Linked DNA regions of Drosophila melanogaster. Changing the gene in region 1 together with any one later gene gives a genetic interaction. Each region holds a gene or a part of one and is shown in the gene's direction. Other genes may lie near its edges. The genes, in order: Atg8b and Ire1.

Region 1 (3,365 bases):
TATGTGACGCACATTGCTTAGAAAATGATAGAAAAAAAATCATTTGAATATACAAAATCTATCATTGGGCCATCGGACAAAGCCAAGAAAATGAGTTAAATCAATTATTTACACAATATTTCGCTTGATTGGCAGCTCTGGCTGATTATTTGTATTTCGAATCAACACCGAATAGTTAGCAGCCGTTCAATTGGATTAAATCCACTCTGACGACTCTTGCATTCCATTTAACTAATTCCCCTTTGAATGGCGGACACCAAGTTGGAGTAATTAAACCAGGCGGACACGATTAAGTGGGAGGAACGCCAAAGATTCTGGTCCAGTGAACGCAATGCTCTCATATTTGGACCCTAAAAAAAAACGGTTATGGTGTCGTTTTTAACGAATTATTGTTAATTGCCGCATTAACAACATGGTAAAACAAGTCAGTTTGAGTTTATTAGGCGCAAGTCGCAATATTGTTCATATAAATCAAATTAGAATGTTCTAGTTCAGTGGCCAGAAAAGCTTCAATTTTTACCTACCTACCTAATTGCTCTGTTATTTCTTATGCACTTTTCACGAGAAAAGGAGAAAACAGATACGCATTTGTTTTATAAATCAAATTAGCTTTTGCCAGTTGGCTGACCGCAAAAACTCGTGTGTGTGTGTCTCCAAGCCAACAAAGTGCATTTTAATTTGTTTTAAAATTGTATTTTGTGCGTTTAGAAAGCGCATGGCCGTTTCTATCTATCCAGTCAAAGAAATCTCTCTGATTTTTGAAGTCTATTAGCATGGACTTATTAGCAGGTATGCGGTAACCACATCACAAAATCCGTACGTTTCTATCGAATCTCAGATCATCTCACAAACGAATGGGCTCTGGACTGCACATTTCTAGGTGAGCTAAAGCAACACCATTAGGGCGATTACTTTTGCGGATTGTGGAATACAATTGGTGATTTGTTTCGCACCCGTGAGTTTAATTAGCAATTGCCGCACACAATCAGTACACAGGCACACATAGATTAGTTGCCCGTGTTTATGGCTAATCGCCACTAAAATCAAGAATCAATTTTGGGCAAAATGAAAATTGATAACTTTATGGCCTGGTTTTTCAGCAAACACACACAACACATCAAAGGAGAGATCGTGGGACTAACAATTTTTTCGACCATCACATGAGCGTATAAACTCTGAATTATAATGGATTTTCCGAAAGATTATTTCACACACACGCCTTTTTCTAACGAATCGAAAGGGTCCGTTCTTGGACATGTTGCTCACCGGAAGCGTAAATATCCCAGGTATTTTGCAGTTGTCTTCGTCCGAACTGAAGTGCACCTGTTGCAAGGGATTACGCCCAGGCCACAACCGGAAACCAGCGATGCACGAACTGCTCCAAGTAGTAGTACTGTGAAGTAGAACGACAAACTGAACTGCCGAGGCACCGAACGCGAACAACCGAGCAGCTCCAGCAGCTATGGCGGAATGAGAGCTCCAGCGCTGTCCGAGCGACGAGCAGCCAGCGACGACGGAGCCCAACAACACATCTGCTCCAGCTTTGCGTGTGTTGCGTGCATTGTTGCCGTTGCGGTCGGTACAGGTAAAAGCTTTCGCAGTTGTACGCCCCCAGCACATACACTTGTTGAGCTCCCTTGTGGTCAGCGCCTTGGGAGCCTTGATTGTAACGTCTTTGGGCCAATTGTCGCCTTGGGGCGGCCTGCAAAAAAAGGTTCATAGAGCGGTGCCAACTGCAGGGATTTATATAGTTTTTGTCGTATTACAAAATATTTAATTAAATCAATGAAAATATATAAAATAAATGCGCCAGTGAAGTATGGAATGGAAAGTTTCTAGCCCGAGGAGTCCTGCACAGCACATTCGTAGTGCGATTCCAAGGACACAATTACAATTAACAGTTTAAACGGTAATGGGATACTTCAAATTAATTAATTGGAGCGATGCATGAAAACGATACAAGAAATATGTGTGTAAGCACCATGAAAGCCCCTAGGGAAATTTGGCACTCATATATAAGTAGTTCTTCTTTAATTTAGAATTTCCAACAAATTTCGTATGTTCCTGATTGGTTAAAGGTATAGATATACTTTTCCATGAATAGGAATGAATACTAAACCTGATTACAATCACATTTTCCCTCTCCCATTTCCCATTCAAATCCGAGAAGAGCAGGCACTTTTCTATCTGCCAAAGCTATCTGTGCAGTAAAGGTGATAAATCATACATAGTTCCCAGCAACTCAGGCCGGCAGCTACATAAGACCTTCGTACCAAATCCAAAACGAAAACCCATTTTTCGCTCCGTTTCGATTCGAACCGTATTCCAGTCCGCCCAGATGGATATGAACTACCAGTACAAGAAGGACCACTCGTTCGACAAGCGCCGCAACGAAGGCGACAAGATCCGGCGCAAGTATCCGGACCGTGTGCCCGTCATCGTGGAAAAGGCGCCGAAGACGCGTTACGCGGAGCTGGACAAGAAGAAGTACCTGGTGCCGGCGGACCTGACAGTGGGCCAGTTCTACTTTCTCATCCGCAAGCGTATCAATCTGCGTCCCGACGACGCCCTCTTCTTCTTCGTAAACAATGTGATCCCACCGACATCGGCCACCATGGGTGCACTGTACCAGGAGCACTTCGACAAGGACTACTTCCTCTACATTTCCTATACCGATGAGAACGTCTATGGACGGCAGTAGACGCGGGCTTGACTCGCGTAATCGTTTTGGCGGTCGGTTGAGTTTCAATTGTCATTTTTTGCCATTGGCACTACTCGCTCAATAAAGAATGACTGCTCCTAGCCAGCTAACCAGAAGCAGACAACGTCGTCATCACATGGCACATGCTGGGCTAAACAATAATTATCGCAGTATGTGCTTCCCCCGCGTTGGAAGTGGGTGCATAGCATCCGCTAATCCCTTGCCCCTGGTCTTGCCGCAAAAAGTTAATTGAAGCGCTCGAAAAAACATTTAGTGGACTCACTGCTTCGGCTTAATTATAATTCACATATTCGATAGCCGTATGGTTTGCTTAAGTTCACTAATTGATGAAAATATGAGACATAAAACCAGTTTAAATCGGGCAAAAGTGTGCTCCAAAGGCGTGCAATAAGATTCAACAAGTTGGTTTATGTGTCGCATGAAGCCAAGTCCAATGTGGTGAGACAAACTTGTTGACACCGTGTCCATGGATTAGCGAAGGAAATTTTTATATCATAATTTCGAATTGATTTTATTTCTGTTTTATTCCGTCAGACACCCACCCACAACTTCCAAACCCTTTGATATACAGCTTTTGTTTATCAAACTAATCTACATGGGCTGTATTCTTCGAAAACTTCCAGATGGTTATATGGAAAAAGTA
Region 2 (8,158 bases), 2.1 Mb from region 1:
TCTCTACCAGCTGGGCCTGATCGACGAGCACGGACTGCAGAGTTTCCACGATGCCGAGGCAAAGGGTGCTGAATGCATTAAGAGTCACGACATGGAGTGCGCCTTCGACGTATTTGATTCCCTAATCAACGGGGACCTTACCAATGGCTCACTGTTCAGCAACCTTACTGGATACAACTGGTACTACAACTACTTGAAGACGCATGATGATGATGGCGCCAACTTGGGCGAATTTCTGCAGGCGGGCGCCACTCGGCGGGCAATTCATGTGGGCAATAAGACATTCCATGATCTGGACAAGGAGAACAAGGTGGAACTTCACTTGAAGAAGGATATCATGGACTCGGTGGCCCCGTGGATAGCCGAACTGCTGGCCCACTATACTGTGTGCATCTACAGCGGGCAGCTAGACATTATTGTTGCCTATCCACTGACGCGCAATTATCTCAACCAACTAAAGTTCCCCGGCTCGGACAAGTACAAGGTGGCTCCCCGCGAAGTGTGGCGCGTTGGGAAGGAAGTGGCCGGCTATGTCAAGCACGCCGGACATCTTGTGGAGATCATGGTCCGCAATGCCGGGCACATGGCTCCTCACGATCAGCCCAAGTGGCTGTACATGATGATTGATCACCTTACTCATTACAAGCACTAGGAAATGCGTACTTAAACTATTCAGTACAATTTGGAGACCAAATTTAAGCCTTTGTTTTTAAAATTAATCATGAATAATTTGGTGTGAGTTTTGAATGCATAAATATGTTGATGAGAGCATTGGGTTGTTAATACTCAACTAAATTCATATAATTTGTTACAGAACTGTATATAACAACAAAGATTAAAACATCAAAAAGAAAATCAACAAAAATGTTGAGATGAAATTAATCCTAGGTTACTTCCCTTTAGTTATTCTATCCAATATAAGCTACAGTCAATTAACAAAGCTTTTAATTCAACTAGTCCAAAAAACGCAGTTAATAATTAACTATCCGTTGCTCCTTTAAAGTTCCTGGCCACCAGGAAGTGCTCGGCGGAGTCTCCGCGGCTAGCGCGCGGTTTTACTCTCTTCACTTTCTCATAAAACCTAAGCATATCTCGCTCCAGCTTGGGCACGTCGCCATTATCCCACACCTTGACCACCAGATGGGCCTGCGGAGCAGACATGGCCAGGGCAAAGCGCAGCACCTCGTAGCAGAGGTTAGTGATGCTCTCCTGGTCCAGCATCCTCACTCCGGTGGCATTGGGTGCCATATCGGACAGCACGCAGTTGACCTTTCTGTCTTGTAACGCTTCCCTCAGCCGCTTTTGTGCCAGCGAAGAAGTGAAATCCATGCCGCCAAAGATTGTGGCACCCGGCACAGCATGGAAATGCAACAGGTCGATGCTAAAGACGGCTCCCTGTGGCGCCCGCTCCTGCTTTCCGTTGGCATTGGTCCGCTCCACGGCCACCTGGGTCCAGCTGCCAGGAGCAGCTCCGCATTCCAAAACTGTGTCTCCGGGCCGCAGTATTCCGTATTTGTCGTCGATCTCCAGTAATTTGAAGGCACTCCGGCAGCGATAGTTCATCATGCGGGCCTTCTCCACGTACGGATCCGCCAGTTGGCGCGTAAGCCACTCCTGGGAGCTCTTGCTCCGTCCTTTGAGGTTCCGCGGCTGCTGTTTGGCATACTTTCCGCCTATTTCCGTGTGCAGCAGGCGTTTAAAAACACAATTACCCGTAAAAACAAGACGCATTGTGTAATATCGAAATTAGATCGCCTATCGATTTTTATCGACCAAAGTCAATACAAGTTCTGGGAAGTTTACACTGCAAGCGCAGAAACTCCAAAGCTCACATTATATTACCACGTATATGTTACAATTTTATCCATGTTGGAATAAAAAGATCTTTTCACATTTAAATTGATTTTATGGCAACAGCGATGGGTAACAATAAGATTTCCATTGCTGCCATCTCAAGCGTCAGTGTGAATGGGATATTATTTCGTTGCATATTTGGCTCGTTGCGTGCTCCCTGGTCACACTTCAAACCAGTACGGTCTTTTCCCAATTATCTGCCCACTGTCACTCTACTCCGCTCACTCGACGAACTCTCAACTCAACAATGGCGAACGTAATTGGAAAATATTGAACGCGAGTGCGAAGAAAATGTGAAATTTAGCACGGCCAGAGCTGCAACAGTGTTTGATGATTGAAAAGTTTTGAAAAAGAGGCGATAATATGCCACAAACAAGAAACGAAAACTGACTAAACGTGCAAACTGAATACGGATCGGAAATAGCAGTAACTAGTTCCCTCTCTCTTTCGCTCTCTTTTCTCTTCTAATACCCCCGCCCCGCGCCCTACCGGTTGCAAAAACAAAATGAGATTCTGCGTTGTTGTTTGTTGCGTGTTATTTTTGCTGGCCAGCGGGCTTATTGCATCAGCTACAGCAAAATCACAACAGGGCGACTCGGCAGAAGTCGTCAGCAGCGGCGAGGATGAGAAGACGGTAAGTGGGGGCGGCACTGGGCCGTATGACCCACTAAGGGCTAACACTGGACTACCAATGAATATTTCATCACCTTGCCCGATATGTTGTTCATAAGTTTCTCTCGCTCTTCCACAACCCGCAGGACTGCACGGACCTCGCCCGCGACGAGGAGGCGCTGATGGTGTTCTCCACACTGGGCGGCGGACTGACAGCCATCGATCCGGTGACCAGCGAAATACGCTGGACAATAGCAGATGGTAATTACGCGGGCACTCCGCTGTCCTCCACACTCACTGCACCCCTATTTTCCGGCCACAAGTGTGGGACTCGAAACATATGATGGGCAAAGAAGGGTCCTTATTATCAAAAGTGGGAATTTTCCAGCATATATCTCGGGAAATGGGTGTTTTTAGGTATCTAAATACTTTAAAGATAAAAAAACAATATGGTTTTGTTATTGAAAACATTCGAACTGGAAGCACTAAGATCTTTCATAAATGCAAAGTCAGGAAAATTTAATTGTTACCGAATGCCACATTAAGAATATTTTTGTTTTGTTTATTGTTTTGCTCATTGAAATGTGAGAATGTTTCTTTAGACCATTTAACAGCTAAATTTAAATCGTTTTATTTGCGTTTATTGTTGTTTTAAGCTAAATCTAGGAGTCTTTTTTTTTTAGGGAAATTGCCGCTTTATTTGCATAGTAGATTTAAAGATCTTAAGAGATCTAGCTATATATATATATTTATTCCCATGCTGTCACCACCCCTCCTGGAAAATTGCCACTTCACCAGGCTGTTGCACTCGCCGTTTGAAGTGCGAAATGCGTAGCACATGCATGCGCTCGATGAGCTCATCGCAGATTTCGTATCTGCCAGATGTAAGAGCCTAGGATAGATCTTTCCACCGCCTTTCGTGCTCTATTATTTTCACTCTCGCCATTAATGTTGTGTATTGTGCTGCGGGCCTGATAAGGTCCCGCGTCTAGCGCAATCTCGACAAGCGTTCTCGGCACACAATTCCACCAATTAAGTTGCCAGCCAGTGCGCCATATCACCAGTTGCTGTTCCCCCATACCCTTTCCGCAGTGGGTGGTTGGGACTTTGAGCCATTTTCCATTCGGTTCATTGAATATTCCCATAATTTCTCAGCGTGACGTATTGATTTTCGGTGGCTCTCAAGTGCGTTAATCTTGTGGTCATTTGGCTGCTTCGTATTAACCTCTGAGATTAGCTGGCATATATAAATGAGTCACCAGGAGAAAGATGTTAGTAAATTGCGCGATTAAAGGGGTTAATGTGCATAGCTTTCGTTTGAATTGGTGCACTTGTTGGCTACCATTAGTATTATTATGTTTGTTTAATGTGTATAGCATTCAATAGATCACTAAAATGGGGCTTCACTTATCTAATTAAAAAGTGAGGGCATTTTCAATTCGAATTATCGAATATTGCTTATAAACCTGGTGCTATTTTTATTTTCACTGGCTTTGTTGATTGATTTTCCACTTCAGAGCATTCATATTCGCCTGATAAGTAATGCCTCAAGAACTTCCTTTAATTACTCCCCAACTAAGTATTGGAGTTATGCCAAATGACTCTCTGTGGACAATACGCCCTCCACATGTTTGTTTAATTTCTGAAATAAAAAACCCACGCCCCGTGAAGATTATTTTATGTGATAGCTGCAATACACATGTATGTCCATTCGTATTATTAGAAATTTCATGCTGCCCGCTTGTCGCCGGGCTTCGTGGAACTGCAAATGATTGAAAATTCAGGGAGACAAACATGTGGACAGCATCTGACTAGCGGTTTCATGGCAGAGCGCACTATTTGGGCAGTATTTTTCCGAGTCATTCAAGCCAATAATATGTTTTTGATTCGCGGTAATTACACTGTTTCGCCGGCTCTAGCACAGCAGATCGGTGTACCGATTTGTTAGGTTCTATTACCTCATCACGAGACGGAATCAGGTTTTGTCTACGACTACCGCTAGGCAATTAGAATGCTCATGCTAATGAAAGTGCTGCGGCGAGTTAAATGACCTGCCCCAGAAATTGCGGCAACATTCGGTTAATGCCGGGAATGTTTTTGGGGTTGCAACTAATTATTGATAAGAATGGACAGTACATCGAATTGTTTGGTTTCATTACTCGATATTGGTTGACGACCATCTTTCCTGGCAATACTTGAGTTTTGTTTAAACCATTTCGTCAATATCGTGCATGCGATGATGGTCTCCATTTGCATTCGACAAAGTCAGAATTTAACGCTGTTGCCTCGCGCGAATTGTTGGCGATAACAGAAAGAAATTGCCAACACGACTGGCGTAAACACTTTGGATTTGATCAGCCAGCCATGGGTCCCCCAGGTCTATTTCGTATTTACCCAACTGCTGTTTGCTTTGGCTTTGTCTGCCGCGCCAAAAAGCCGCTTAATTTATTCGGGCCTTTTGGTGGAAAGTGTTCACGTTCTTTAATGTGCACCAGAAAATGTGCTCTCCGCTTGGGATGGGGTTAATGTATAGATTACATTTTCGTTCCCATCGGTATAAGTATGTACATACATCAGGAGATAAGCGTTATCGAGAACAGGTTCTGGTTATAATTTATTATATTTCCCTTACTTTACTCCACGTTAGTTGCACCGATATCAGGAACTTTTTATTGGAATTTGTTTACTGTGCACACTTAAAATAATTTACTGCAAAAGGGGTTCATCACTCTAAATTGAAAAGATAATAATAATAAGTATACTTGCTAACTAAAGCTGAGTATTGAATAATAATCTGGAATTCAGAAATTTCTGCTTAAACTAAAATTTTTAATTGATAACAGTGGGATTTTTTAAAATTCGTCAAAAATAGACATGAAATGTTCATTACTAGTTAATACTGGGTAATAAAAGGAAATAAAAAGAAGCAAAATAAAACTAAAAATATTGTTATTGCCGGCTAGTCAAATGTGTTTTTGGCGCGGAGTATATATATATTAGGTTATCTTGTCGTAACAAAACAACTTGTAATGAATTCGATGCAGTATGCGATTTGAAAGTTTAACACCACTCGGAATACATTTTGTGTGATTTTGCATATATTGTGCTTTTACATGGATGCAAAGGAATCGGACTTTATCACGATTTCGAATTTGCAATCATGTTTATTACTTTGTTTTTCTTTTATGATTTTACTTTTAAGCTATAATTGTATTTCTTTTAGATCCTCCTATAGTAGCAGAACATCAGGAGAATGTTCAGGTTCCGCACTTTCTGCCCGATCCTCGAGATGGCAGCATTTACCAGCTGGGTCAGATGGGCAGTCTTAAGAAGTTACCGTACACCATTCCCCAACTGGTGGCCAATGCTCCCTGTCGTTCCTCCGATGGAATCCTGTACTCAGGGAAAAAGAGCGACACCTGGTATATGGTGGATCCTAAGACGGGCAGACGCGAAAAGGTTATGGGCTTTGGCGATGCCACAGTGGATGGTAAGGAGGGCGAGCAGATCGGCTGGGCCACTTCGCGGGCCATCTATCTAGGCCGGACTCAGTACACGGTCATGATGTACGACAGCCTGGCTAAGAACAAGGATGCTAAGCCATGGAATATCACATTTTACGACTACAATGCTGTGAGTGCTCCTCCTGAGCTGGCCAAGGAATATGGTAAGTGCATCTCATAATATAAGAGTGTACACATTTGCTTATGATCTCCCGCACGCAGAGTATATACATCTGACCACCACCACCAATGGACAAATTGTGACTCTGGATCGAAAACACGGTAAATTTCTGTGGCAGCGCGATCTGAGCAGCCCAGTGGTGGCTGCATTCCTTTTGGGACCAGACGGGCTACTCAGTGTGCCATTCACCACGGTCTCTGATGAGGCTTACCAGGCCATCCTCGAGGAGTCGAAAACAGGAAATGTGAACACCGTGAAGCTATTGTAAGGGACATACGATATTCGTCCTGAATTCCATATTAATTGTAATATTTTCAACAGCCAATCCCTTTATGTGGGCGAACATCAAAAGGGCTTGTATGCCCTGCCTTCGCTGGTGGACAAGAACACGCCTCGTATTTCCACAGCACCACCTATAAAACTCCTGGATGGACCTACAGGAGACCAGAACAGCAACCAAGAGACAGATCCGCGCACCATTTACATTAACGATGTGCTGCAAGAGCATGCAGGAATTATGTTGGGACACTACAACATGCCCAATGAGGGTAATGGTAACCTGCAGCTGTCACCGACGACAGCCAGCAGCAAGGTGGTTCAAAGTCTGGCCACCATTCACAACTATAACGATGGCTACGGCCTGTTGGCCAATAATGAAAAGAACGCCGCCGACATTGGCGTGCAAACGGATCCCGAGCTGGTCGAAATTGGCATTGATCAGCGGACGAATGGGAACACCATTAATCGGACGAAGACAATAATACTGCAGAACAGCAATAAGGTGCAGGCCTTTATCAACGAGTGGTTTATGGAGCATCCTAGCGGAAAGGTGCATCAGATTCTAATTGTTATCGTTCTGGGTATGATTGCCTTGTTCTGGTACACCTGCAGCACAATGAGGGAGCTGCAAAAGCAGAGCGAGAATGGTTCAAAAACCTTTGCCATAGCCCAAAATGGATCCAATGGAAGCACTGGCAGCAATGGTAGCAATGCGAACGCTGAAGACCTAGTGGACTTGGGTAATGGACAAGTGCGTGTGGGCAAGATCAGCTTCAGCACAAATGAAGTGCTGGGAAAGGGCTGCGAGGGTACTTTTGTCTTTAAGGGCACATTCGAGGAACGTTTCGTAGCCGTAAAACGGCTGCTGCCCGAATGCTTCACCTTTGCTGATCGCGAGGTGGCCCTATTGCGAGAATCGGACGCGCACGAAAATGTGGTGCGCTACTTCTGCACCGAACAGGATCGCCAGTTCCGCTACATAGCCGTCGAGCTGTGCGCGGCCACTCTGCAGGACTACACCGAAGGAGATCGCTCGCTGGAACTTCAAAATCACATCGATGTTTGGCAAGTGTTGAGCCAGGCTGCATCTGGACTTAGTCATCTTCACTCTCTCGACATTGTGCATCGCGACATTAAGCCGCAAAATGTTCTTATTTCTCTGCCAGACGCCAAGGGCAAAGTACGTGTCATGATCTCCGATTTTGGGCTGTGCAAGAAGCTGAATTTTGGCAAGACTAGTTTCTCACGCCGATCGGGTGTAACAGGCACCGATGGATGGATAGCCCCAGAAATGATGAGATCACAGCGAACGGTACGACATGATTTTTATTATTACCCTACACTACTTCTTCACCATCACAAGAACTTTCTAAAATCGATGTCTTTCAATTATTTACAGACAACTGCTGTGGATATATTTTCCTTGGGCTGCGTTTATTATTATGTTTTAAGTGGCGGTCACCACGCCTTTGGTGACAATCTGAAGCGACAGGCCAACATACTCTCCCACGAATACAATCTGGCCAAGCTGCGCCCAGAGGACGACAGTGAGGACAGCCGAATTGTAGGTTATCTTCACCAAAAAGTTATAGCTAGTTGTTCTAATTACTTCATTTTATTTTAAAGATCCTTGCTGAGCAATTAATATCGGATATGATACACAAGGATCCGCAATCGCGACCTCCAGCTCGTTGTATCGGAAATCATCCGCTCTTTTGGGATGAGCCTA

What was found.
Region 2: of Atg8b (region 1) and Ire1, changing one suppresses a phenotype caused by changing the other (phenotypic suppression), as found in Drosophila melanogaster (one study listed by BioGRID).

What each region holds. Positions count from the first base shown.
Region 1 is NT_033777.3:17,723,884-17,727,248, reverse strand, and holds Atg8b (Autophagy-related 8b), read left to right. Parts: upstream 1-2,185; 5' UTR 2,186-2,338; coding exon 2,339-2,701; 3' UTR 2,702-2,839; downstream 2,840-3,365.
Region 2 is NT_033777.3:19,855,216-19,863,373, reverse strand, and holds the start of Ire1 (Inositol-requiring enzyme-1), read left to right. Parts: upstream 1-2,082; 5' UTR 2,083-2,359; coding exon 2,360-2,488; intron 2,489-2,612; coding exon 2,613-2,727; intron 2,728-5,689; coding exon 5,690-6,133; intron 6,134-6,191; coding exon 6,192-6,414; intron 6,415-6,471; coding exon 6,472-7,741; intron 7,742-7,828; coding exon 7,829-7,993; intron 7,994-8,055; coding exon 8,056-8,158. Other genes in the region: CG4572 (uncharacterized protein), read left to right, coding at 1-652; Mrm2 (mitochondrial rRNA methyltransferase 2), read right to left, coding at 979-1,731.